2 linked regions of the Tamandua tetradactyla genome follow. The protein of the gene in region 2 purifies or fractionates together with the protein of the main gene of each other region. This does not show direct contact. Links are inferred from orthologs where the notes say so. Each region holds a gene or a part of one and is shown on either strand. Other genes may lie near its edges.

The links. Proteins that work in one complex are often made in the same cells at the same time.
Region 1: the proteins of SLC30A2 (region 2) and METTL9 purify together in Homo sapiens (co-immunoprecipitation; 3 studies listed by BioGRID and IntAct, with this or other methods). This does not show direct contact. The link is inferred for Tamandua tetradactyla from reciprocal best matches to the Homo sapiens genes SLC30A2 and METTL9.

Annotation. Positions count from the first base shown.
Region 1 is NC_135349.1:34,751,655-34,758,744, forward strand, and holds the start of METTL9 (protein-L-histidine N-pros-methyltransferase), read right to left. Parts: upstream 3,031-7,090; 5' UTR 2,793-3,030; coding exon 2,628-2,792; intron 1-2,627. UniProt on the Homo sapiens protein: Protein-histidine N-methyltransferase that specifically catalyzes 1-methylhistidine (pros-methylhistidine) methylation of target proteins.
Region 2 is NC_135328.1:200,154,589-200,162,664, forward strand, and holds the start of SLC30A2 (proton-coupled zinc antiporter SLC30A2), read left to right. Parts: upstream 1-5,030; 5' UTR 5,031-5,229; coding exon 5,230-5,279; intron 5,280-5,959; coding exon 5,960-6,180; intron 6,181-6,750; coding exon 6,751-6,897; intron 6,898-7,599; coding exon 7,600-7,753; intron 7,754-8,076.

The DNA.
Region 1 (7,090 bases), on a different chromosome or scaffold from region 2:
TTTTTTCTTCACAGCCAGTACAAAAAGTCAGCAAGCCTAAAAAAAGTCAATGAGTCCAAACTGGCCCGCAGGCCATTTTCCTGCTCTAAAAGACGCCCCTGCTTTTCACTTGCCCAAAGTAAGAGAAACCAGTTTTCTCACTCATGTTTTTCCCTCTAGCATGAGGAGCTGCCTACCAGTAGGGGCCCTTCCATCTCCAAGCTATACTAAGTAGCAATTTTTAATGAATAAACATTGCACAAGATTTCTCTTTTAACCATGGAACACTCTACCATAATCCCTTAATAAAATAACCAGAAGGAAAACTTGTGCTAAGTACAGCTCAATCAAATCCACAACCCTTTCAAGCAATTCCAAAAGAACCAGATGTGGTTGGCTATGGAATCAACACCACCAGATGAACACCAGAAGACTTTACATAAAACTATTAATTCTAAAAAATTTTTAAAAAAACATTAAGAGTAAAGTTACTTTATAAGCAAGAAATTAAAAGGTAAATTTAGGATCCTGGAATATAATACATTTAGCCAAGTTGCGTAGAATAGTCTCTTACCTCACTTTATCTTACTGTGTTTTCTATATACTTTTTATTTTAATCTTTACTCATAAAAGAAATTTTCACAATGTGAACGTATTCATCTCGAAACAAAGTCTGGATTCATTATTCTAAGTAAAATAGTCAATCCCCCCTAAATACTCAGAAAGCACCAGATTAGACTTCACCATGGAGAAATCTGTGAAACTGTCAGTGCAAATGGTTAAAACACATACGTGTTTACACACACACACACACACGAATATAATCTCAGATGAAGTTTTCCTAAGTGTGACAGACAGTTTTTAAAACGTACACAATTAGAAGGCATCCTGTTAGGAGACATTCTGAGGCTATGACAACCAGTTATAATTCTACTAGGCTCCATAAAAGTCAAATTGCTTAAACAGTTTTTCAAATTTTAAAATAAATCTACTCTTTTATGAGCAATGAAAACTTATCAAGTTTGCTGCAGAACAGGTGATAATAAGTGTTCAAATAAAACACCCAATCATAATTCTACATCAATGGAAATAAGCCTTTTTTTCCTTATCCAGACCGTTTTTCTATCAAATCTTTGTTAAAAATGACATTTCTAATTAATCATTCTATGCCATTATCCATACTCTATATGAATACGTCATTTTAGTAGCAGTTATCAGTACAGGACTTTAGAGTTGTTTCTTAATTAACTAAAATAATTATTCCATAGCAATGAACGTGGTTTTACCACTTCTTACACTATCACAGGAATGACTGCCTAACAAACTACAATACCTGAGAGATTACAAAAAATATACGTATTTTCTATAAACATAAATTTAGGATTCCTTTCAATAAAGGAAAAGGGGACCTACATATTCACTAAGTCAAAACTAAAATGTCTCTTTTCTGAATAAACTGCTTTATCCACTTCTTAGATAATTCTTTACTGTCATTAAGTCACACGAAATCAACCTCAGTGTAAACTATCTGAATATCTGGCATTCTAAGAAAAATAACACAGAAAAATAAGAAATGTGAAAATGATACACAAGACGACATGGAGAATAATTAGCCACTACTCTCTGTATCATAAATGCTAGCTATTATGAGCCAGCACCCTAGCAGAGTTCAAAAGCCTCTTCTAATTGAACGTAATGTTAACCGCAAGTGTGGTCAAATATGAAACAGCTCACTCTTAATTCTACAGCTGAACTGCCCGTACTTCTTTAAGTGACACAAAACTGGGCTAATGATAAGACGGTAATCGGGTCACATCGCATCACTCACGATCCCCAAGTACAACTCTTAAAGGAATTCAACTCCAGCCCAGTTCTGTTTTTAAAAGCCCTTCCTGTAATAGCTTGCATCATCTTCCTCCTCATAAACATCTTTCCGGTCAGATACTTAAATAGAAGTTTAAAGGAAATCTCCCCTGGGAAGGATGAGAAAGGAAGGTTCCGTAGGATGGGAGTCAGGACCTTTCAAACATATTTTTTTAATGCTTAGGGAAGATGTCACCTGCATAAGCCCGGAGAGTGAAATGGCTCACGATGCATGGTTAAATTTCTTTATGACCCTTTGTATGCTCAGAGATTCAACTAGACAGAAAGATGCACCGGCTTTTCGTTATGTTTCCCAGAGGTTATGAAGGCTGTCCGGGCTGACCGGTCTGAGAGGCTCTTTTGGATCTCAGGCCCCGGTATTAGGCGGGTGCCCCCCGCCACGCACCGGCCCCAAAGTTCCTCCCATCCTGCCGCCGGGAGCAGCCGCCGAGGTGGCCGGGCTTCTGCAATCAGTTCCGGGGACCGGGGGACAATGCGGGGCTCCTGGGCGCCCACGCTCGGGCCCGGGAAGGAGAAAAAGGAGGCCGTGCTCTGCCCGCGACGTGGAACAAAAGACGCTACCCGGCCGGGCCCTGGCGCCCGGGGGTGGAGGACCGGCGCCCGGCCGGGGAGTCGGGGGGGAAAACTTTCCGAAGCGCCGGCACCGTGGAGCGAGGGCCCGGCCTCCCTCTCGCGGTGCCGAGCCACCCGGCACAATAGCCGGACTCAGCGCGGGAAGGCCCGGCCGCCACGCCCCCGCCCCGGCCCGGGGTCCGGCAGTGTACCTGGTGGTTCTCCTTCCTGCCGCCCGCGGCTGCCGTTGGCCCGCCCGGGCCGCTCGTCATGTTCACGTACAGGGAGCGGGTGAGCGGGCTCCGCAGCGTCCACATCCTCCGCGCCAGCCACACGGACGCCAGGCTCAGGCACAGCCAGCCCGCTAACAGTCTCATCGGGGGCCGCGGCCGCTCGCTCAGATCACCGCCCGCGCCGGGGCGAGGAGGAGGAGGCGCCGCCGCCTCCGGCCGCCGCCGCCGCCGCCGGCGCTCGAGCCATCGCGCCCAACTTGCCCATCCAGCCCCTTCGGGGCCGAGGCGGGGGATGGGGAGGAGCGGCCGACTCACACGCAGCCTTCCCACCGCCCCTTTCCCTTCCGTCCCCGGAACGCAGCCGCGGGCGGCGCCAGTTTCCAGCCGGAGCACGTACGAGCGGCTGGAGCGCGTGCTCCCCGGGGCGCTCTCCCTCTGTCCAATGAGCGGGCGGGCCGGGAGGCGGGACAAAAGGAGCGCTCATTCGCCCGGTGCGCGTCCACGCTTCCTGTCTCTGCCACGGCTCCACGTAATGGCGGAGATGATTTTAATTTTTCTAGGGGAGGAGGGGTCGTTTCCAAAGGCGGTAACTGAAGCCCCTCCGCTCCTCCAAGGTGGTTCCCGCAGGACTGCTGGTCTTTCATCGCCGTAATTGTTGCATTTGGGCGCCTCATCCCACACCCGGGCGGTGCGCCCACCTTGTTGGGCAGATTGGCCGGGGGTGGAGGGGTGAGAGCGGGTCAGCCCCTCTTACGTCTTAACACTCAAGAACCAAGTCCTTCCCAGAGACAAACGCTGCCAGTTCTTAACTGTTCAGGCATGGCTGCATACCTCCAGTTTATGTTTAGAGGCGTCGAGTCAAACCCCCAGTGCCAAGGGCCTCCGTCCTGCTTCACATGAACTGCAGGACATTATAGGAATCTAGGGATAAAGGATACCACCACCGGCCCCGTGCCCCCAAGCCTGGCACATTGCGGGCCAAAGGCTCTGCTTTTGTTGAAAGCTACTGCAGTTGGGCAGGTAATGTTTTGATGTGTTGATGGCCCTGCCTAAGGATGGAGACCCCAAATTAGAGTCGCTGGCTGCTCGTTTTCTTGAACTCACAGACGGAAGTTGGACCAAACATTCAGGCTAAGTAAGCTCTGGGAGCGGTGCTTACCCGGATGTTTACGCCTGTGTAGCACTAGGAGTCCTAGCAACGTCTGAAAACTGAAGGGTTACACAGTGTTCCTATGTCTAAAATTCTTCCTGCCGCTACCCAAGCTACAGCCGAGGAGTAACGTATTTCATGGATCCTCTAGCTTTAATAACACCTTTCTAGGTTTGTCTGTTTAAAAACGCTTTTAATTTAACTACACCAGAAATAATGTAAATACATTTCAGTCGAAAACAAAAGAACAATCTTTAGGTTAATGACAAATTTGCATTTCAGAGCTTTTCATTTATGAAACAGTGGTGTGGTGATCTGATAAGCAGCAGCCTCGTTCCTAACCCACAGATATTTTTATTAGCTTCTGAGAATCTCAGCTTGACACCTTTCACTAACAGGGACATCTTGTTGCCTAATGTAAAGGGGGATGGGGGGAAGGGGGCAGGGAGTACTTTGTGTTCTCTCTTTCCATTATACTCCCTGTCTGCTTCCTGCCAAAACCTCAAAGAGCCTACTACATCTTATTAAATCTACTTCAAACCTCCAATGATAGTGGCCCAAATCATCAAAAAGAAACTAAAGTAGCGAGTTCAAATAACTCAGTTTGTTTACTGTGTCACCTCTCCCTCTTGTCTTGGGATCAGTGTTACAGATACAGGAGCTGTGTGCCAAAAGAAAGCCTTCATCTTTTCAAAGTGGGAGGAGGAGGGTGGAAGCAGCAGACAAACGGCATATTTCCGTTCTGAAGACAAAGGAGGCAAAAAGATATGTCCCTTTCTCCCACCCCTTATAAAGTAAGCTTGCTGAGCAGGCAACTTGGAAACTGAAAGGGTGAAACAACTAAATGCTGTTGTAGCCTGAAGGATTTGGGGTCAGCTAACTCCTAAGAAGTCTAGCATCTCGAAGGGGCAGATTTTTACTTTATACCTGAGCAGCTGGCCTGGAAGAATAAATTACCCACACATTTAAAATACTCTATAGTAACCACAAAATAATCAAATACATGTTATTTACACTTAGCAAGCACAGGAAGAAACCAAAGCGCAGCGTGATCAAATGATTTGCCTAAAGGTAGCAGAGCAAATTCAATAGCAGACCTTTTCATAGAACCTGGTATCCCAGCTCACGGTCCTTTGATCCATCTAAGAAGCCCCGATGCCACTCTCTTGTCAGAAAGTCTCCTCAATTACAAATGAGGAGGAAGGAAAACAGCAAGAGTAAATATACTAAGCAGAAGTTCAGATTGCTCTTGGGGACTGCCCCCTTCCTTTATCTACTAGAATGTCACTCCTGTAGATTAAAACCTCAGTTATCCATAATGCAAAGGGGAAGAGGCGCAGATAACACAAAAAGCTGAATAATTCGAGCCATTACCCTTTCTAACTTGGCTCTGAAATGCTGTCAGTGATAATCAAAAGATGCATAGCTGGCACCCTTTGTGCCTAGCTCTCCTCAGTTTTCCTAACCAGGAGCCCATGCCTAGTGCCATATCTCACTTGTGGAAACCTGTCACAGACCTCTGCAGACCTGAAATTTTGAGTGGATTGAGTTCCTATCCAGAAGTCGAAGAAAGGGCTTTTATTTGCTTATTCTTTTAAATGATAAAGCATTTTCATGTTCTCTCTTCAATTTCACAGTGTAATATTCAGAGATCCTAAATGATTAGAGGCTTGGATCTGTACAGTGCCTACAGTATTGGCCATTGTTTTCTCTTTGAGGAGATATAGTCAAAAAAGAACTTTTTATCATTACGTTTTCAAGGGCTTAAATTTTTTTATGTTGCATAATAATGTTTTGTAGAACATTAGACCAAGTTTTCCCAACATATTCAATAGATGTGTGCAACAAGAAACCTCTCAAAAGTAAAATGAATGAGTGTACAGGGTTTGACCTGAATTTAGTTCATATGATTGCAGTCATATACAAGTCACATCACAGTGGTCTCCGAATGATAAATTCTAAGTCCAGGTGAAACTTCAAACATGCATGAAGTAGAAGAATTAAACCAGGAATCAGAAGCCCTGCAGTACCAAGTACAAATAGCACAGCAACTACGTTAGCGTCCTCTCAATGCTACATATTAGCATAGGGGTTTATCATCTGCATTGTTGAGACAAGCTACCTGGTTTTTGAAACCTGGTCCTGTGCTTCTTGGTTATTCAATAATCTAAATCACTTTACTGGACCTCTCCAGGCGTCTGTTTTCTCATCTGTAGCATGGGGATAATAATAATAGTTACCTATCTCTAGGGATATTGTGAGGATGAAATTATATATTCTAAATTTAAAGGGCGTAGTGTAGCACCTCAACACATTGTGAGTGCATAGAAAATGCTAAATTTCTGTTCTTTTCATTTTCTCTTGGATAAACCAACCTCTTCAGAGCTTCCCTTTCATCATCTGTAATCTGTGGGCCATGATGCCTACTTCACAATCTGTGAGAATCAGATGATCTTAAAGCTTCATAAACTGTAAAACATTCAACCAAGATTATCATAATAGGAATATTCAGTTCTGATATGACTGTGAATTCTGCAAAGCTACTCTCCCTAAAACATTCTCTTACAACTGATAGCTTCTCCTCAGACCATCTTCATTTATTCAATAAATACTTTCTGGGTATTTACTTACATCAGGCACTAAACTAGGCATAAAGGAAAACAAAATAAAATCCTCATAGAGCTTACTGTCTAGTAGGGAGACAGACCAAACAAGTAATTATACAATGAATATATACTTAAAACTTCTGAGTGCTAGAAAGAGTCTATGTGTTAGAAGAACTTATAACAGGAATGCCTTACTTGAGGGTGGAATGGGGGTAGTGTTCAGGGAAAGCTGCCCTGAGGAAGTGTGGCATTGTGGTCCTCATTTTGACATTTCCTTATTGAGCTTGAGAGCTTCCGAGTTGCCCAAGTTCTTCCTGGACTATAGGTGCACCCAATACTTGTGACAACAGAAACGGGGTGCTTCTCGGCTTTGATGTAGGATGCAAAGAATCTCTGTGCACTTCACAGGCTCTTATGGGACTTTGGAGAAGAATAAATGAGATCATGTTAGCACAGCTGTCAGCACAGTGCCCAATATCATCAGCTCCCTAACCAGCCATTGTTAGTACTGAACCATGAAGTGGGTCAGAACTTTGTTCTCTCTGGACAAGTGACTTAAGCAGTCCCAGCAGTGAGCCGCCATCTACTTTAAAACTTAGTCTCATACAAGACAAATTCCGTTAAGGAGAGTCCTAAGTCCCAGGCTCCACCAAACGAGTCACTTTCTCAAACTGAGAATTGTGTGA
Region 2 (8,076 bases):
TTATCTGTGAGATGCTTCCCATCTCCTGTCTTTCAGGGTTGGAAGTTTGTCTCCCAGAGCGTTAACTCTCTTGCACCTCTACTCTACATCATTTGGTTTCAAAGGGTCCCGAAGGATACCACCTCATGTCCCCTCAAATGGCTATTATTCAACAAACGGAAAATACAAACCTTCTGTTGGGGCTGTAAAATGGTGCAGCCACTATGGAAAACAGTTTGGCAGTTCCTCAGTAAATTAAGTATAGAATTACCATATGACCTGATAATCCCACTTCTAGGGATATACCCTAAAGAACTAAAAGCAGAGACTCAGACAGATATTTTTACTCCAATGTTCAGAAAAGCATTATTCACAATAGCCAAAAGGTGGAAGCAAAACAACTATTAATAGATGAATGGATAAACAAAATATGGCATATCCAGACAATGGAATATTACTCAGCCATAAAAAGGAATGGAGTTCTGATACATTTACAACTTAGATAAACCTTGAGGACATCATGCTGAGTGAAATAAACCAGATGAAAAAGAACAAATAGTGTATAATTTTAATAATACGAAATACCTAGAATATGAAAATTCATAGAGACAGGAATTAATTACAGGTTACCAGGAGCGGAGAGCAGGAAGTTAATGCTTAATGATTATAGGGTTTCTGTTTGGGTTGACGGGAAAGTTTTGGTAACCGTTTGTGGCAATGAGAGCATAACATTGTACATGCAATTAATACCACAGAATTGCAGACTTGAAACCGGTTGAGATGGGAAATTTTATGTTGAATATATGTTACCACAATTTAAAAAATAAAAATAAAAAGAGGCCAGGTAAATTGGAACAGGGTGAGGCCTACGCACCCTCACCCCTTGCAGCTGCACCTCCTGGCTGATCAGGCAGAACAGAGGAGTCTGTGCCAGCTCCCTCATGGCCACTGTATGCCTCAACTTACCAGATGACCCCCAAAGAGGTCTCTCTCCTCAGCTATATATTTTTTCACAGTCATGGCTGGCCCTGTACCTCCACAGGGACGTGGGGTTCCCTCGTCTCTGTAATCCCAACATCTACCCAGCAAAGCCCCATCAATTTACCAGATTCCAATTTGAGGCCTGCCCCAGCTGAGGGCTGTCCGTCCTACCCCAAACACACATCCTTTATCTGCCCACATGACAGATGGGCAAACTGCAGCTGAGAGGGAGATGGGTGCCTGTTTAGTTCTGGTGAGTGGAATGTGGCAGGATGGAGACTACTCTCTCTAAGTACACAGGCCTGTCATCTACACTCAGCCCAGTCTCACTCATAACCTTCAAGCAGCAATTAAGCCCCACTTCACAGGAGCAGGATGGCTCTGGGTCTCAGGCCTGTGTGGCGACCCCCAGTCCCTGGCAGTTCTCTGGAATTGCTCCTGCTGCCCCCTGCCTTCAAAGCTTCCTTATGCAATTTGCACATAAAAAAAAATGCATAAAAAAGGTAAAACAGGTCTCCAGGAAGCACCTTCCAGAACATAACTGTACAAATCCACAAGGATGTAAAACAAGGATGGTTTATAGGAGTGAAAAAAGGAGACATAACCTCAGGGTCTAAAGGGATTGAACATATAAAGCATAGCACTTTGTCCAGAGGAGCAACCACTGCCCCTTAGGGAAACAATAAATCTGGATTGATTATAATGGAAGATGTCTGCAGCCTTGCTGTGAAAAGTCACAGGATGCCCATGGGGCTAAAATAGTAGTCATAATAGTAAACACAATAACAGTTCATGTATACTAGGAATTAACACTGTGTCAGGCCTGTGCATAACAATTTTTAAAAAACAATTAGTATTTCAATTTATGCATATCCTTCTCCAGATTATTTCTCAGGTTACTGATTATGTGGGAATTACATGACATGCTTGTTGCGTGTCAGCCTGATAGCTTGTCACTTATCTGCCAGAGAAGAGAGGGCACTCAAGGTTCTACAGTCAAAGCTTAAATTCCAGGAAGATATCTATCAATTGCAAATAAGTGTATCTCTACTTTGCCACACAAAGGTCTCTTCCTGTCCTTGCAAACTAGAACACTTAAGGGTGGTAAAAAATTGATCCAGAATCTTCCTTTAAGAGCATGCTACAAGATTGGAAACTGGCTCCAAAGGCATTATTCCAATGAATCTGGACTACAGTTACATGGGCTATTGCATCAGAGTCACCAAGGAGGTTTATTTCCCACCCTCAGCCCCTAAACCTTTAATTCTAGAAAATTGAAAACATTTTGAAAAGTAAGTAGAAGGAATAGTATAATGTGACCCCATGGACCATTACTCAGTTTCAACAACAGTTACTGACAGATCATCCATATCGCTTCTTCTATACCCTTACCCACTCCCCCACTGGGATAATCATTTTAAGACAAATCCCAGACATATACAGATAATTTCATCTTCAATACTTTAGATAAGGGTACTTAAAAAAATAGTAGTCAGTATACCATAAAAAATTATCAATAATTCTACAATAGGATCAAACACAGAGCGGGATTTTCAAAATTTAGATTCCCAGGCCCTACCCTTGACCTACTGAATCAGACTCTGGTTCTGGAATGTGGGAATCTACATTCTCAGATAAAATTCATCAAGTGATGGTGAGTCATTGGGAGCTGCTAGGTCATTCTGCGTAGGACCTCCTGGGCATCACTATAGGAGCCTTTTTTTTTTTTTAATTTTGAATGATCAATGTTAAAAATGTGAAACATATGGAAGCAGTTGCTTGTGAAGTCATTTGCATACTCTAGCTGCCTCATCATAGCTAGAACTTCCAGTACAATGTGGAATAATAGTGGTGACAATGGGCATCCTTGTCTTGTTCCCAGTCTTAGGGGGAATGCTTTCAATCTCTCACCATTGAGAATGATGCTGGCTGTGGGTTCTTCATATATACCCTTTATGATATTGAGGAAGTTTCCTTTGATTCTGAAGGAGTCATTTATATAATACAAATGGTCTTGGCCTTTTTCAGTATCTTCAAGTCTTGATTAATCTTTGGTTAGTTAAAATCTTGCAAATCATAAAAAATGCATCTTGAGAAATTGTTAATTTAAAGGAAAATTTGTTGTGCATATTTTTATAAAGTGAATATATGTAGCTGGATCCCATTAAAATCTGCATTTACTGAGAATTTACAATGTGCTTTGCTTTAAAGGGAGCAAAAGGGACCTAAAAGACACTTTTTTTCTTTTTTTGCATGGGCAAGCACCGGGAATCAAACCTGGATCTCCGGCATGGCAGGTGAGAACTCTGCCTGCTGAGCCACCATAGCACCGACCTAAAAGACACTTTTATAACGCATAAATGTTTTGCCCTCAGAGAGGTTAAAGACAAGAATCTAAGCCTAGGGCAGTTTGAAGCTACAACTGAGATCACCCAGTAAGAAACTCTTCCTGTGGGCAGCATCCACTTCACTTACTCTGATTAAATGACCAGCCCTATAGTTGTCTACTTTTTTACTCCAATCCAATTCACATGTATTTAATTAAGTGCCCAGTAGGTGCTCAGAGCAGAGCTAAAATGTAATAGAAGTACAAGATCTATCCCTGCCCTCAAAGAGCTTAAAATCGAATGGAGAGATAAGATGAACACCTATCTGAGACATCTTGCAAGAGCTTATGCAGAGGTTTAACGACTGTGCAGAAAATCCCATAGGGATCTTGCAAATACACAGATTTCCAGGTTCCACACCCAGAGATTCTGATTTAGTTGGCCTGATGCAGGGAACTGCAACCTGCATTCTAACACCTTCTCCAGGTAATGCCTGAGCCTACTGGTTCTTAGACTGTACCTTTAAGGAAATCAGGAAGCTTGGTAAAGTTTTCCACACTCAGAATCCTGAGGAGGTGGAAAGGCACTCAGTGGGGACCCAACCAGAGCAGGCATGCAATATCCCACACCACCCTGGCTCCTAGCACCTTGCCTCCTATGATGGCTCCTGTTGGGGGTGGGGGTGGGGAAGCAGTGGGGAGAGGGGTGAGATCTGAAGGAGTCCCTTCCTTTCCTACTGGTGTGGGCAAGAGACTTGAACCCCAGACTCTCTGCTCTGGGCAGGGTTATGCTCTCAACCCAGGGGACAAAGACCTAGGGTATGCTGGGGTGACTGGCCAGGGAGGCTGCAGCCGTTTCATACAGAGCACCTGTAAAAGGCCAGCATGGGGCACGCAAGGTCCCCACCGCTCAGGAACCATAGGAGGATGCTGCTTCAAGTGGGCGAGCCGCCAAGCTGTCAGGGAGGGACCCCGCGCTGTCCCGCACCTTCCGCCCGCATCTCCCCGCGTTGGCAGGCCCGGCTTCCTGGGGCTCCTGTGACCTGCTGCGGAGCGGGGAGGGATGGCTCTGCCCAGAGGCAACTCCTGATGAAGTGCCGCAGCGCTCTCCGCGGGGTGGAAATAAAGCCAGCCACTCCAGATTCTGAGGACGGAGGACAGGAGAGGAGGAACTGCTTCAGTGAGAGTCCTGTGGAGGGCGGGTGCCTCGGGCCTGAGGGGAGCGGCGCACCACCGCCCGCAGGGGTGCCTCAGTCTGACAGCAAGAACCAAGCAGACCTCAGGAGTCCCGAGGTGGAGGGGGAATACAGCCTGCCTCAGGAGCCCCTAAAAATGAGGCAAGGAGCCACCCTGCCGTCCTCAGGGAATCCAAAGAGGGTTCCTACAAACCAAGGTCCGAGCACTTTTCGGAGTGGGGTGCGGCCAGCCCCGCGCGGGGGCCTGAGTGGGCCTGGCTCAGCCCTGAGTCAGTCAGCCGGAGCGGCCGAGCGAGGCAAAGGTGCTTAGGCGCTCCTCGCAGGCCAGGTCGGCTCCTCGGGCCCCACGGCTGGTCGGGGGCAGTGGCGGAGCACCCTTTGCAGCCGGTCCCCTCCCTCCCCCTTCCCCGCGGGCTTTTGCACACGACGTGCGGCTTCACACGGGGTGGCGGGGCCGGATAAAGCGGGCCGCACGCGGGGCGCAGCGGCGGGCACCCGAAGGTGGGAGGGCCGCGCGCCGAGCCGGAGCAGCAGCCGTTGAGGGGCGGCCGGCGAGTGGCCAGGGCCGCAGCTGGGGCGCGGCGGAGCGAGCGGGCGGGCGAGGCCACGGGCAGAAGCGGCGGGAAAAGCGAGGGGTCAGCGGAGCGGCGCGAGCGTTCCTCCCCGCGCAGGAGCGCGAGCGCCGCGGAGCGTCCCGCGCGCTCCTTCGAAGGCGCACTCGGCTGGGCAGCCGGCGCGCGGGGCCGCATGAAGGCCACGGAGAAAAAGCATCTCTTGGACGCCAGACCCGGAGCCCGGTAAGGCGAGAGCATGGGGAGGGGCGAGAGTTGGAGCGGCATTAGACGAAACTCCCGGTTTGCCACCCTGGCAGTGGACGGTTTTGGTGGCGGCTTGAATTGGCACCACGCAAGAGGGATGGGGTGAGGTGACAGAGAGGGGAAATCGAGCGTGGGCTGGGGGGCGGGGGCTTATCCATCCCTCGAAGCCAAGAGTTGATCCCGACCCCTACCCGCCAAGAAAGGGGCTGCAGGTCGAATGCCCGGAGCCCTGCGACCAGCCCAGCACTTTGCCCCCTGTAGGCCCCGCCCAGGGGAGGCCCTCTGTCCCCAAGTGCAGGTGGGAGGAGGAGGGGGACGGGTCTGTCCTCCCTGAGCTCTGCTCCTTCTTCTCGCTAGGCTGAACCGGCCCCGCCTCTTGGCCAATTCCTGGAAGGGTTGGGGGAGGAGGGAACAGCTCTGGCTGTTCGTCTAAGGCCCTCAGACTCCTATACTGCTCATCCCATCTCCCAAGCCTTCACAGAACACGTGCTTCTCACCTACTGGTCACTCCTCAGAGACTTTGAGAGCTTGCAGTGTCCCTAAACAGCACCCCAACTCGACCCATTGGGAACGCCAAGGCCTCACAGCAAGGTGAGCCTAGAGTAAGCTCTTCTTGCCCCCACCTCAGAGCTGAGTCCTCTTCCTTCCGGTCTGGCCAGGTCATACACGGGATCTCTGTGGCAGGATGGGGCTGGCTGGATCCCTATGCGGCAGCCTGGCCTGGACTTGCAAGCCATTGAGCTGACCACCCAGAGCAACCATTACTGTCATGCCCAGAGGGCTCCTGGCACTCTCCGAGACCCCAAGAAGGAGAGGGCCCAGTGCCAGCTCTATGTGGCCTCTGCCATCTGTCTGGTGTTCATGATTGGTGAAGTCATTGGTAAGTCTGTGCTAATTCAACTGAAGTCTAACTAAATGATCCAAAAGGCTTTTCTCTCTCCTCGATGTTCCCAGGAATATTCACACTAAATAGCCCCAGTTTTTGAACACTCACTAAGCCCTTTACATACATTATTGCTTACAAGAAAGTGTGATGTCATATGTGTGCTGTTAACCTCCTTATTTTACAGAAGGGGAAACTGAGGTACACTGGGGTTAAGTAACTTGCCCAAGATTCACATATAGCTAGTAGGGAAGGGAAGGCCTGAATGCCTATAAGGAGAGAGCAGAGAGCATTGACTGAGTACCTGTTATGCTTTCTGTTACTATTTGAATTTGATATTCACATTCACCCTTTAAGTAGATGTTATCCCCATTTCATGGATGTGTGGAATTTAAGGCCCAGAGAGTGTCATTTGCCCACAATTACACAGCCAGTGGATAGAGCAATCTGGAACCCAGTGTGCTTGTCTCTGGAATCCCTGGTCTCTCCACTGCACATACAGTCTGGGAAGATTGTTCCTTGGGGAGCTGGTGAGGACCCTCCATCTTCCTGGCCATTCCCCTGCAGGTGGGTACCTGGCACATAGCTTGGCCGTTATGACAGATGCAGCCCACCTGCTCACTGACTTTGCCAGCATGCTCATCAGCCTCTTCTCCCTTTGGATGTCCTCCAGGCCAGCCACCAAGACCATGAATTTTGGCTGGCAGCGAGCTGGTGAGGACCCTGGTCAGGTTGGAGATAGAGTTCAGGGAAAGGGGATTAGGACATAGGTTCTCAGGGGGCTGAAATAGATGGAGCCCTGGGTAGGGCCAGGGGGATGCCTTGCGTTGATCACCCTGGCCTCTGGCCTCTGGGAGCTCCCAATCTGGTGCAGAAGTCCTGACCCTTGTCCTCCAGAAACTCCCAGGGTGTTGGGGGAACCCTGGTCCCAGTCATCGGGACCTCCCAAGCTATAGGAAAGGAGGTCACTTACCTAAGAAATTCAGGGGCCAAAGTTCATTAGCAAAATGCCTGGCATTCACCTCCATGGAGCAGCTCAGTGGGGAGGCGGAGAGGGATAGCTAACAAAGCCTTCTGAAAGATACAGGCTTTAAACCCCCTTTTAATTCTGGGCTGCTCTGTCATTTTCCTCTTGATGGGAGATGGCCCAGCCTGTCCTCATCCTTGCCAGCTGAGCAATGGGTATGTAGGTCAGTTTTTTTCCATATAAAACAAAAATGACTTACATCCTTTTTAGGTCTGATATTTGGGTAGTGGGGCAAGGTGCACCCGTGCCAGTCATTCCCTCAGCAGAGCCCAGTTAGGCCCAGGCATTGGCTTGGCTCTCTGGGGGTGAGGGGGATCATAGAGGGGAGGTTCTCCACAGCCCTAGGGACCTAGGCTGAGGTTGGTGCTGGGGGCTGGGTTTCTCCTCAGAGATCCTGGGAGCCCTGCTCTCTGTGCTATCCATCTGGGTTGTGACTGGGGTGCTGGTGTACCTGGCGGCAGAGCGGCTGGTCTCTGGTGACTATGAGATCAAGGGGGGGACCATGCTGATCACGTCCGGCTGTGCCGTGGCCGTGAACATCATGTGAGTATGGCCACTTCTCATACACACACTCTCATACCCAGTCTTGGAGGAAGGAGGCCATGCCACGGTCCACTAGAGGCTGCAGGGAGAATTTCCCCAGTGCTCCGAGCACTGGAACCTGAGACACCTGGGTCCGGCCTGAGGCCTAGGCCAAGGCCATCTGGAACTGCAAACCTGGAGCAGCATCAACTTCACACACCACCAGCTCCCTTCTACCCATAGACGTCAGTGAATAATGACCTTGGAGCCTCATACCTGATGTGGGGAGGGATGAGTCTAGTTCCTGCAGTAGCAGATGTCCCTGGGGGCAGGACAGAATTCAT